2 linked regions of the Oryctolagus cuniculus genome follow. Each later gene encodes a partner of the first gene's protein in a complex. Links are inferred from orthologs where the notes say so. Each region holds a gene or a part of one and is shown on either strand. Other genes may lie near its edges.

Region 1 (4,772 bases):
TGGCATTTAAATTAAGAGCAGTCTTATACCACTGAAGCCTCAAACCTGGACATTTCTAACTGCAGGTGGTTAATATAAGAATTGATTAGAATTGTGAGCCACTCAGATGATAATTAGAGAACTGGTGTCATAACCAGTGTTGGAAGACATTATATATTTAGAATCGGAAAGAACTTGAGAGCAGTTATTCAAAACATGTTTGCCATTTCATTGACTAAACTCCTCAGGACAAGACCATGTTTGCACACAGTGAACATCACGCTGTTCAAAACTGATTCAGTGAATATATAAATGGGGTGCCTACCACTGGGGTAGAGAAGTTCTCAATTGTTCTTTGGAAGAGAAGCTAGTCAAGAGGTCCTCCCTGGCTCTCCTTTAAAGCTGATGAAACAAACCAAGAAAAGTGACAAGTCTAGCTTTTCAGTATGTGACGCCAAGGCTGACTACAGCACACGGTGCCACAGAGGAAGGACATGCAGCAGCAAGTGTGGAACCACTTCAGAGGAGGAGCACCCTAGAGGATGGCACAGTGATTAAGTCACAGCTGTGACTTGTCTTCTTCACACTGAACTTCTTCTCTACACTGAACACCTTGTGCTGTCAAGTTCTGCTCTTGCAAAAGCTACCAAGCAGTAGAGTTCAAACTCTGCTCTACTGCCTGCTTAAAAACCAAGGTTGGGGGTGGGTATTGTGGCACACTGGGTTAAGCCATTGCTTGTGACACTTGCATCCCATATCAGAATCCAGTTCAAGTTCCAGCTACTCTGCTTCTGATCCAGTATTCCTACTACTGCACCTAGGAGACAGCAGATAATGGGTCCAGTGCTTGGATCCCTGCCACCCATGTGGGAGACCCAGATTGAGTTCTGGGCTCTTGGTTTCACCCTGACCTAGCCCTGGTTGTTACAGGCATTTGAGGGAGTGAATCTGTAGATGGAAGACTCTCTCTCCTCTTTCAAGTACATGAAAATAAATAATAGTAAACATTAAAAAACAATAATAGCATATCCACTCTGTCAAATAAGTGTGATCTGTAAAAAAAAAAAAAAAAAAAACAAACAGGCCGGCACCACGGCTCACTAGGCTAATCCTCCACCTTGCGGCGCTGGCACACCGGGTTCTAGTCCCGGTCGGGGCACCGGATTCTGTCCCGGTTGCCCCTCTTCCAGGCCAGCTCTCTGCTATGGCCCGGGAAGGCAGTGGAGGATGGCCCAAGTGCTTGGGCCCTGTACCCCATGGGAAACCAGGAGAAGCACCTGGCTCCTGCCTCCGGATCAGCACGGTGCGCCGGCTGCAGTGCGCCGGCCGCGGCGGCCGTTGGAGGATGAACCAACGGCAAAGGAAGACCTTTCTCTCTGTCTCTCTCTCTCACTGTCCACTCTGCCTGTCAAACAAACAAACAAACAAAAACCCTAAGGCTTTTTTTTTTAATCTAGTCTATTATACTCCAAAAGCAATAAAAACTACTCAAATGAACACTACTGCATTACGTACTTTGAAGACAGTTACCTGGCTGAGAAAACCATGCACAAGCACATGTTTATGCACTTGTATCAGCCCTACATTAAAGTGCTAATTCTGTACTCTTTAGTGTACAGGTAGTTCCTCATTAGATAAACATTCTTTTTTTAAAAAAAGACATTTATTTATCTGAAAGCAGAGCCACAGAGTGAGACAAGGAGAGACAGAGACAGAGGGGGAGAGGGAGAGAGTCCCCCAACCATTGGCTCACTCCTTAAATGGTCCCAGCAACTGTGGCTGGGCCAGGCCAAAGCCAAGAGCCCTGAGCTTTCTCCAGGTCTCCCAAGTGGGTGCAGGAGCCTAAGAACCAGAGCTGTCTGCTGCTGCTCTCCCAGGCCCACCAGCAAGGAGCTGGACCGGTAATGAAGCAGTGGACTCAAACTGACACCCATATGGGATGCTGGTGGTGCAGGCTGTGGCTTAACCTGCTGTGCCATAGCACTGGCCCCAGCCAAATGTTCTTACAAGGAGACTTGTGTACAACTTCTCCGTTCAGCTGGATCTCAGGCTTCTCAAAGGCAGAAAACATCTCCTGTTGCCCTCAAAGCCATGTTGTTCAGTGCTAGGCAGAGAGGAGAGTCTTTTCAAACACTAAGACAGACTAAAAAGATGTCATGCACTCAGTACTCATCAGGTAAACTTGCTGGAGCCTACAGGACCTGAAGAAAATGAGACCACACCTAAAAGACTAGCAAGAAACAACCACCTGCATCTTGCCATTAACAAAAGTCTTACCTGTGATGGGGTTATCCTTCCCTTTTTAACTTCAGACGAATTTTCACTTAGTTTTCCTACTTTGTTACTTGAGCTGCATTTGTAACATGTCCATCTTGTTTGGCCTTCAACTTCTATGGTGCATTCTTTGTTTTGTAGACAGAATGAGTGATACAAATGGCCACAGCTGCAAAATGAAGGCAATCAATTTTCACTTTTCATTATAATAAAAACCATAAATGTTAAGTTATTATACAGAGTATTTACAAGCAATAAAGATTTCCAATAAGCTGCAGTGCACTGAGGGTTGTAGGAAACAAGAAAGGAAAGGTACTTCTTGTGGTCCTCTCCTTATAAAAATCCAGACTCAGGAGCCACCACTGTCCTGCATGGGTTAAGCTGCTGCCTGCAGTGCTGGCATCCCATATGGGCAAGTTCTGGCTGCTCCACTTTCCATCCAGCTCCCTGCTAATGTGCTTGGGAAAGCAGCAGAAGATGGCCCACGTACTTGGGTCCCTGCATCCGTGTGGGAGTCCAGGAAAAAGCTTCCAGCTTCAGCCTAGCCCAGCCCTGGCTGTTAATGGCCACTTGGGGAATGAACCAGTGGATGGAAGATCTCTCTCTCCCTCTTTGTGTCTCTCCATATCTCTCCCTCTCTCTCTGTAACTTTGCCTTTCAAATAAATAAATCTTTAAAAAAAATCTCGACTCACATGTTTGTATATTTAACTTGTGAGTAGGAACAAAATCACAGTTCCCTAGTTACAAACCACCTGGAGGATGAGTTGAACTTCTGTTCATTTCTCAAACTATGAAATTTTGACAGTATTTTTAGATAGCTTGAAAAAAAGGCAATCGGGAAAAGTCATAATTATGTAAGTAGCTTGATAATGACATGAGTGATCTGCCTCATAAATTCAAGGCAACAGTTATGATTGGCTTAAACACTTACAAAAATGTCACTGCTATACAGTAAATTCTTAAAAAGAATTAACAAATGAGGCTTCCAAAAATTGAGAGCTGAGATTACTCTCAGTCACCTTCATTTTCCAACCTGAAAGTTGGACTATCTCAGAAGTTAATTCTTCTTTCTTTCTAGTCCCATAGTCTTTATAATCTTGCTCTCCTCTTTCTGTCCCCCACATATGTAACCTGTTTTTTCCCATACTCTTTTCTATAACTGGCCTTGCTCCTTTAGAGATTACTTCTAGCTCCATAGCTCTAAATTATCTCCCATTGCTCCTAATCACCACATTAACCGCTTCAGCACAGACCTCTCCTGAACCCCCATCTCTCTACTTGAGGTATCTAACAGGTGTTTTAAACATAACATGTCCAGTCCTAGAGGTCTGGCTTCCACCCCACCCCATGTTCTCATTCAAAGTTCTACAACTTAGTAATGGCAATTATATCCTTCTGGTGTTTCAGACTAAAACTGACCATTCTTTCTTTCATACCCCACACCTAATCTATTATCAAATCCTAGCAGCTCCACCTTTATAATATATCCAGACTCCTGCTTCTCCCTTCTTTACTGTCCCCCACGCCACCTCTCACATGGCTCCTGCCACAGCCTAGCTAGCTGCTCTGCTTTCTCTGTGACCCCCTATATCCCTTCACTACATGGCCATAAGAGTGATCCTTAAGGGGCCAGCACCATGATGTAGCGGGTACAGACATATGGGTGCCAGTTTGAGTCCTGGTTGCCCCACTTCCAATCCAGCTCCCTGCTCATGTGCTTGGGAAAGCAGTAGAAGATGGCCCAAGTCCTTGGGCCCCTGCACCCATGTGGGAGATCTGGAAGAAGCTCCTGGCTTCGGCCTCACCCAATCTCGCCATTGTGGCCATTTGGGGAGTGAACCAGCAGATGGAAGGCTTCTCTCTCCAACTCTGACTTTCAAATAAACAAACAAATAAAACTTTAAAAAAAAAAGTGATCCTCAGATACAAGTCATATCATGCCATCCTTAACCTCAGAATCACCCAATGCCTTCTCATCTCTGAGTAAAAGATAAACTTTTTATAATGATCCAATCCAGCTCCTACATAATTTGGCCTGTGCTCCTCCTCTGAAGTCTTCTTTCTTTTTTGACAGGCAGAGTGGACAGTGAGAGAGACAGAGAGAAAGAAAGGTCTTCCTTTGCCGTTGGTTCACCCTCCAGTGGTTGCCGCGGCCGGCGCACTGCGCTGATCTGAAGGCAGGAGTCAGGTGCTTCCTCCTGGTCTCCCATGGGGTGCAGGGCCCAAGCACTTGGGCCATCCTCCACTGCACTCCCTGGCCACAGCAGAGAGCTGGCCTGGAAGAGGGGCAACCGGGACAGAATCTGGCACCCCGACCGGGACTAGAACCCGGTGTGCTGGCGCCGCTAGGCGGAGGATTAGCCCGTTGAGCCACGGCGCCGGCCTGAAGTCTTCTTTCAACACTTTCCTTCTCCTGCGTCTGCTAGGGTCACTAGCCAACTCACTCATTACTCCTTTAGGATGCCAGGGATGCTCCTGCCTCCTGGTCCTGATGCTCCGCCTGGGCCTAGCCCCTCA
Region 2 (4,772 bases), on another chromosome or scaffold:
GATAGGAAACCTAGGACGGATAAAAAACTTAGGAGGGAAGAAACGGGAAGAACTGGGAAAATACCGGAGAGAGAGACTAGCAAATAGCCTAGGGAAAAGCCGGACGAAAAAGGAGCCGGAAGAAGCTATTGAAAGCCTAGGCATAGACTCGGATACGGACTACGGGGGGAAGCTGGGAGAAATCTCTAAGGTCGAAAGCGAAAGTGAAAGCTAGAACAAACAGACTCGGACGCGGACTGTGGGGAGAGGCCAGGAGAAATGAGGGAGGAATATTGTTGGAAGAAAACTTAGGGAAACATACCGGGTAGAGAAAAATGTTAGGGAAATTGAAGCCGCGGGGGGCAGGCCAAGGCGGAAACGAAAGCCACTTTGGGATTCTCAAGTTAGCCCGGGAATAGGGGGCGAAAAGTTAAAACCAGAAGCTGAGACGTAAGCCAGATTGGGATCCGTCTGATTAGCCCGGGGAGCAAAGGACGGGAAGCCAGATCGTGGGGCGGAGACGTACGCTGGGTTGAATTCGCCAGGCTAGCCCGGGGAACTTAGATTGAATCCTAGTGGCGGAGACGCAAGCTACGCTGTGTTACTCGCGGAAGCCGCCGCGTGCAGAGAGAGCACGGGGCGTGAATAGATAGGGAACGCTGGCGTAGGCCGTGGTTCAGACGCGAAAGGGTTAAGCGTGGAGACCGCGGACCGCGCAAAGCCGGGAAGCCGCGCAGAGAGGCGCGCGGGCTGAAGCGGCGCAGAGCCGGGAACCCGCCGGCGGGGCGAGGTGCCGGAAAGCCGTAGGGATAAGAGAAACAGAAGTTTGGAAGTGAAGTAAAAGAGAAATGGGAATGCTGGAAGATAGAAGTGAAATGGGAGAGGTAGGAATGCCCGGAGATAGAGAAATAGAGAAAAATAAGGCCTCCCCTCAACATGCCAATTAGAAGGCTTGGATTCGGTTTGCCTGATAGAGCTTGTAAGCCCCTGCAGGCTCGACCAGAGCATGCGCTGCAGGGCACCGAACACAGGCACGCATCAGCGCCTAAAAACCTCCTCACAATGGCGAAGAGAGGACCCGGATTCGGTTTTCCTGATTGATAGGACTTGTAAGAGCCTGTGGCAACTCTAGCAAGTACAGCAGAGTGTGTGCCGCGGGACACCGAAGACAGGCGCGTATCAACGCTAAAAAATAAAAAGAAAGGGGGATCTGTGGGGAGCAAACCGGACTAGACTGTTACTCGAATTAAGACTCATTCTATGCATCTGCTCTCCCACAATATGGCGCTGGGAGAGAAGTAAACAGCTTCCGCACAGCTGCCTCCAGTTCAACCAATTAACTGTAGGACTTGCTCCTGATTGGAGAGCAGCGTACTCAGCCGAGTTGGGATTGGCGGAGGAGGACTATAAAGGAGGAGAGAGACGGCATGCACCGGGAACATCTATGGGGAACATCTAAGGGAACCCGTGCAGCCCCCGAGAAAGCCGGCCGGCGGTGTGCCGCTCCCCTGCGGAAGTGGGGAATGCGGCCAGGGGGAACTGCCCTTCCACGGAGGTGGAAGGGATAGTAGCCAACCCGGGAAGAACCAGCAGCAAACCCGGGGAGGGCCGAGCAGACGAAAGAACAGCGCAGGGTCCTGTGTCGTTCCTCCACGAAGAGGGGGAGCGACACCTTTTCACAGCTAAAGCCTCACCCCTGGGACACCCCCCCACCCCCCCACCCAGGAGGGAGGGGGCGGGGCAGCGGCTCTAAGGCAATGTCCTCACCCAGCCCTCCCGGGCCCGCCAGCAGGAACTCCTGTGTCCCTATCCTCTTGACAATGGGCCGCTTCTCCTCGCTGCAGTAGGGAAACAGGTCCTGGGAGGCCCCCGTGCTGTAGTTCAGGATGATGTACTGCGTGGTGAGGGCCAGGCACAGGAAGTGGCCATCCACAGCCACGGCAAGGGGCTGCTCTGGGGTCGACACCTCCTTGACGATCTGCACCCGGTCCTCGTACACCAGGAACACCTGGATGGTTCGGCGTTTCACGGAGATGATGCACACTTCCACGCAGAACGGGTCCCCGCTCACGGGGTTCTCGTTCAGGGCGAAGCTCACGGCCCCCTTGATGCGGGCCCCCGAGGGCACGGGCTCCAGGCTCAGCATGTGCACCAGGGTGATGCAGCTGTCGCACAGCACCAGCAGCCTGTTGAGGGCCGAGGCTGCCCGCAGCTCGTTCACGGGCTTCTTGAAGCCCAGGTGTCTGTGCAGCTGCTTGGTGGCGGTGAACGTGGCCGGCCCGGCGGGCAGCGCCCTCTCCTCCAGCAGGAAGTGGTAAATGAGGCAGTCGTTGGTGCCCACGTACAGGTTTTTGCCGCAGCACTCGACGCACGCGATGTGGATGTGCTCCTTGTCGCCCATCAGCAGCTCGCGCTGCACGGCAGACACCAGGGTGAAGGCCTTGATGCTCATCATGCCTGCCGGGCTCTCTGCAGGAAGAGACGGGGGGAGAATTCACGTTAGCGGGGAGAAGGCGGAAGCAGAAGCATCAGGACACCCAGCTCCTCCAGTCCCCATTGCCAATGAAACATCATTCTGCACCGATTCAGAAGGCAAATTTTTCCTTGCCACCTCCCCCGTGTGCGCAGGTGCTTCTGATTGGCGCCAGCAGGCTCACTCCCAACACAGCCTAGACTCACGCAGAGCCGCCTCCCATTGCTCCTGGAGCCACTCCTGTGGGTACAGGACAAGCACATGTATGCACCCCGGGGACAAGCACATGTAGGCACCCCCAGGCAACCTGACAAAAAGCTCTCAGAAAAGGCAGGCTCGAGCCTCATCCATCTTCCCCTTGAACTTGTACAGCTACTTGTAGTTGCATTGAGCGAATGGTGGGACACAGCCACAGGATCCTGCTGGCAAACACAGAGGCAGGATGAGGCCTCGAATTCCTCTGTGTTCTTCCCAGGAAGGCATGCGCACTGGCCCCAGCTCCGTATTCCACTCCCCAGGTAAGCACGCTCATGTCAAGTCATACAGGTGTGTCTCAGTCTCCCGTGTCTTTAGGTAGCAAGTGAGCGGCTTTGTGGGCAGGTCCCTGGTAGCAATCAGATGACCTCCAGCAGAAGGGGGACACTGTGCCACAAGCTGGACCCTTGGCTGTCTGCTTCTTCCTTTGCAAGGGGTCCCAGTTCTACAGCAGAACAGGCAGCAGGGTGGCCCTTCTGCCTTTGTCGGGTTGCAGGCTCAGAGGCGCAGCCCCTGACAGCCCGCACAGGGGCACAGGGGCCTGGGGAGCTCTAGGCCACGCTGCCAAGCCTGGTGGAAGCCTGGGAGAAGCAGGCTGGGTTTGCATCAGAAAAGTTTTCTCCAGCACTTCAAGCTGCCCCAGAGGGAATGAGGCTGCCTCCGGAGAGACTCTCAACTCCTTAATCCTCTGAGGCGGCCTGGCAAATGCTAGGGGACCTCAGAGGCACTCCAGAAAGATTCAGGCAGGAGAAAGGGGAGGAATGACTCTCGTCGTCACTTGTCCTCTCATAGGTGTCAGAACAACTTGGGGTCGGCACTGTGGCGTAGCAGGCTAAGCCTCTGCCTGCGGGGCCAGCATCCCATAGGGGTACCAGTTCGTGTCCTGGCTGCTCCACTTTCCATCCAGCTCTCTGCTTATGGCCTGGGAAAGCAGTGGAAAATGGCCCAAGTGCTTGGGCCCCTGCACCTGCGTGGGAGATCTGGAAGAAGCTCCCAGCTCCTGGCTTTGGATCATCTCAGCTCTGGCCATTGTGGCCATTTGAGGAGTGAACCAGCAGATGGACGACCTCTCGCTCTGTTTCTCTCTCTGTGTGTGTGTAACTCTGCCTTTCAAATAAACAAACAAATCTTTAAAAAAAAAAAAAAAACTTGATCCTTCATTGCTTAATCAGTCATGGCAGTCCTTGAAAAAGCCAGGACACAGCCATTCTCCCATTTGGAATATGAATTCATGGTAGAAATAGACAAGCTTCAGACCTCCACAACCAAAATTCTAGCCACTGTCTTTGCTTAGCACAAGAGAGAAACTAAACAGCAACAAAGAATATTGGGTAAAGAATCCACATGGTGAGATGGGGGGAGACAGGGGAGGAGGAGTCATGAGAAAAGCATGTGCTTTGTGAAAAACCCGTAAGTCGGTAATATTTGAAAAGCAATGTAGTACTGTAACTACAGTTACTTGGCTGGCTGAAGGTTAAGTTTCCTTGTAGAGGCCTTTAAATAAAGGATCTGCTGTAATAATTAAACAATAATTTTTAGGGGGCTGGTGCTGTGACGTAGCAGGTAAAGCCACTGCCTGCAGTGCTGGCATCCCATATGGGCACTGGTTCGAGTCCCTGCTGCTCCAATCCAGCTCCCTGCTATGGCCTAGGAAAGCAGAAGATGACCCAAGTCCTTGGGCCCCTGCACCCGCGTGGGAGACCTGGAAGAAGCTCCTGGCTCCTGGCTTCGGATCAGTGTAGCTCCGGCCGTTGGGGCCATTTGGGGAGTGAACCAGCGGATGGAAGACCTCTCTCTCTCTCTTTCTCTCTCTCTGCCTCTGCCTCTCTGTAACTCTGACTTTCAAATAAATAAATAAATCTTGGGAAAAAAGCACCCAATAATTTATAAAAAGCAGAATCACTAAATGAAAGCTAAGTGACACTCTGGTGTTTAAAAATGGTTTACTCTTTCAAGCAGTGGGAAAATCCTCTCCATGATCCAGTTCACGTGACAAATGTACTGAGATAAACACGGAGGGATAAACTTGCGGCCACATCTCTGCACTGTCATTAAGCGTGCCCTG

The links. The genes of interacting proteins can lie anywhere in the genome.
Region 2: VPS8 (region 1) and TGFBRAP1 share a complex: the UniProt entries of both Homo sapiens proteins name them as parts of the putative class C core vacuole/endosome tethering (CORVET) complex. The link is inferred for Oryctolagus cuniculus from reciprocal best matches to the Homo sapiens genes VPS8 and TGFBRAP1.

The regions. Positions count from the first base shown.
Region 1 is NC_091435.1:94,614,003-94,618,774, reverse strand, and holds part of VPS8 (vacuolar protein sorting-associated protein 8 homolog), read right to left. Parts: intron 2,423-4,772; coding exon 2,257-2,422; intron 1-2,256. UniProt on the Homo sapiens protein: Plays a role in vesicle-mediated protein trafficking of the endocytic membrane transport pathway.
Region 2 is NC_091433.1:103,288,038-103,292,809, reverse strand, and holds part of TGFBRAP1 (transforming growth factor-beta receptor-associated protein 1), read right to left. Parts: intron 2,449-4,772; 5' UTR 2,435-2,448; coding exon 1,747-2,434; intron 1-1,746. UniProt on the Homo sapiens protein: Plays a role in the TGF-beta/activin signaling pathway. It associates with inactive heteromeric TGF-beta and activin receptor complexes, mainly through the type II receptor, and is released upon activation of signaling.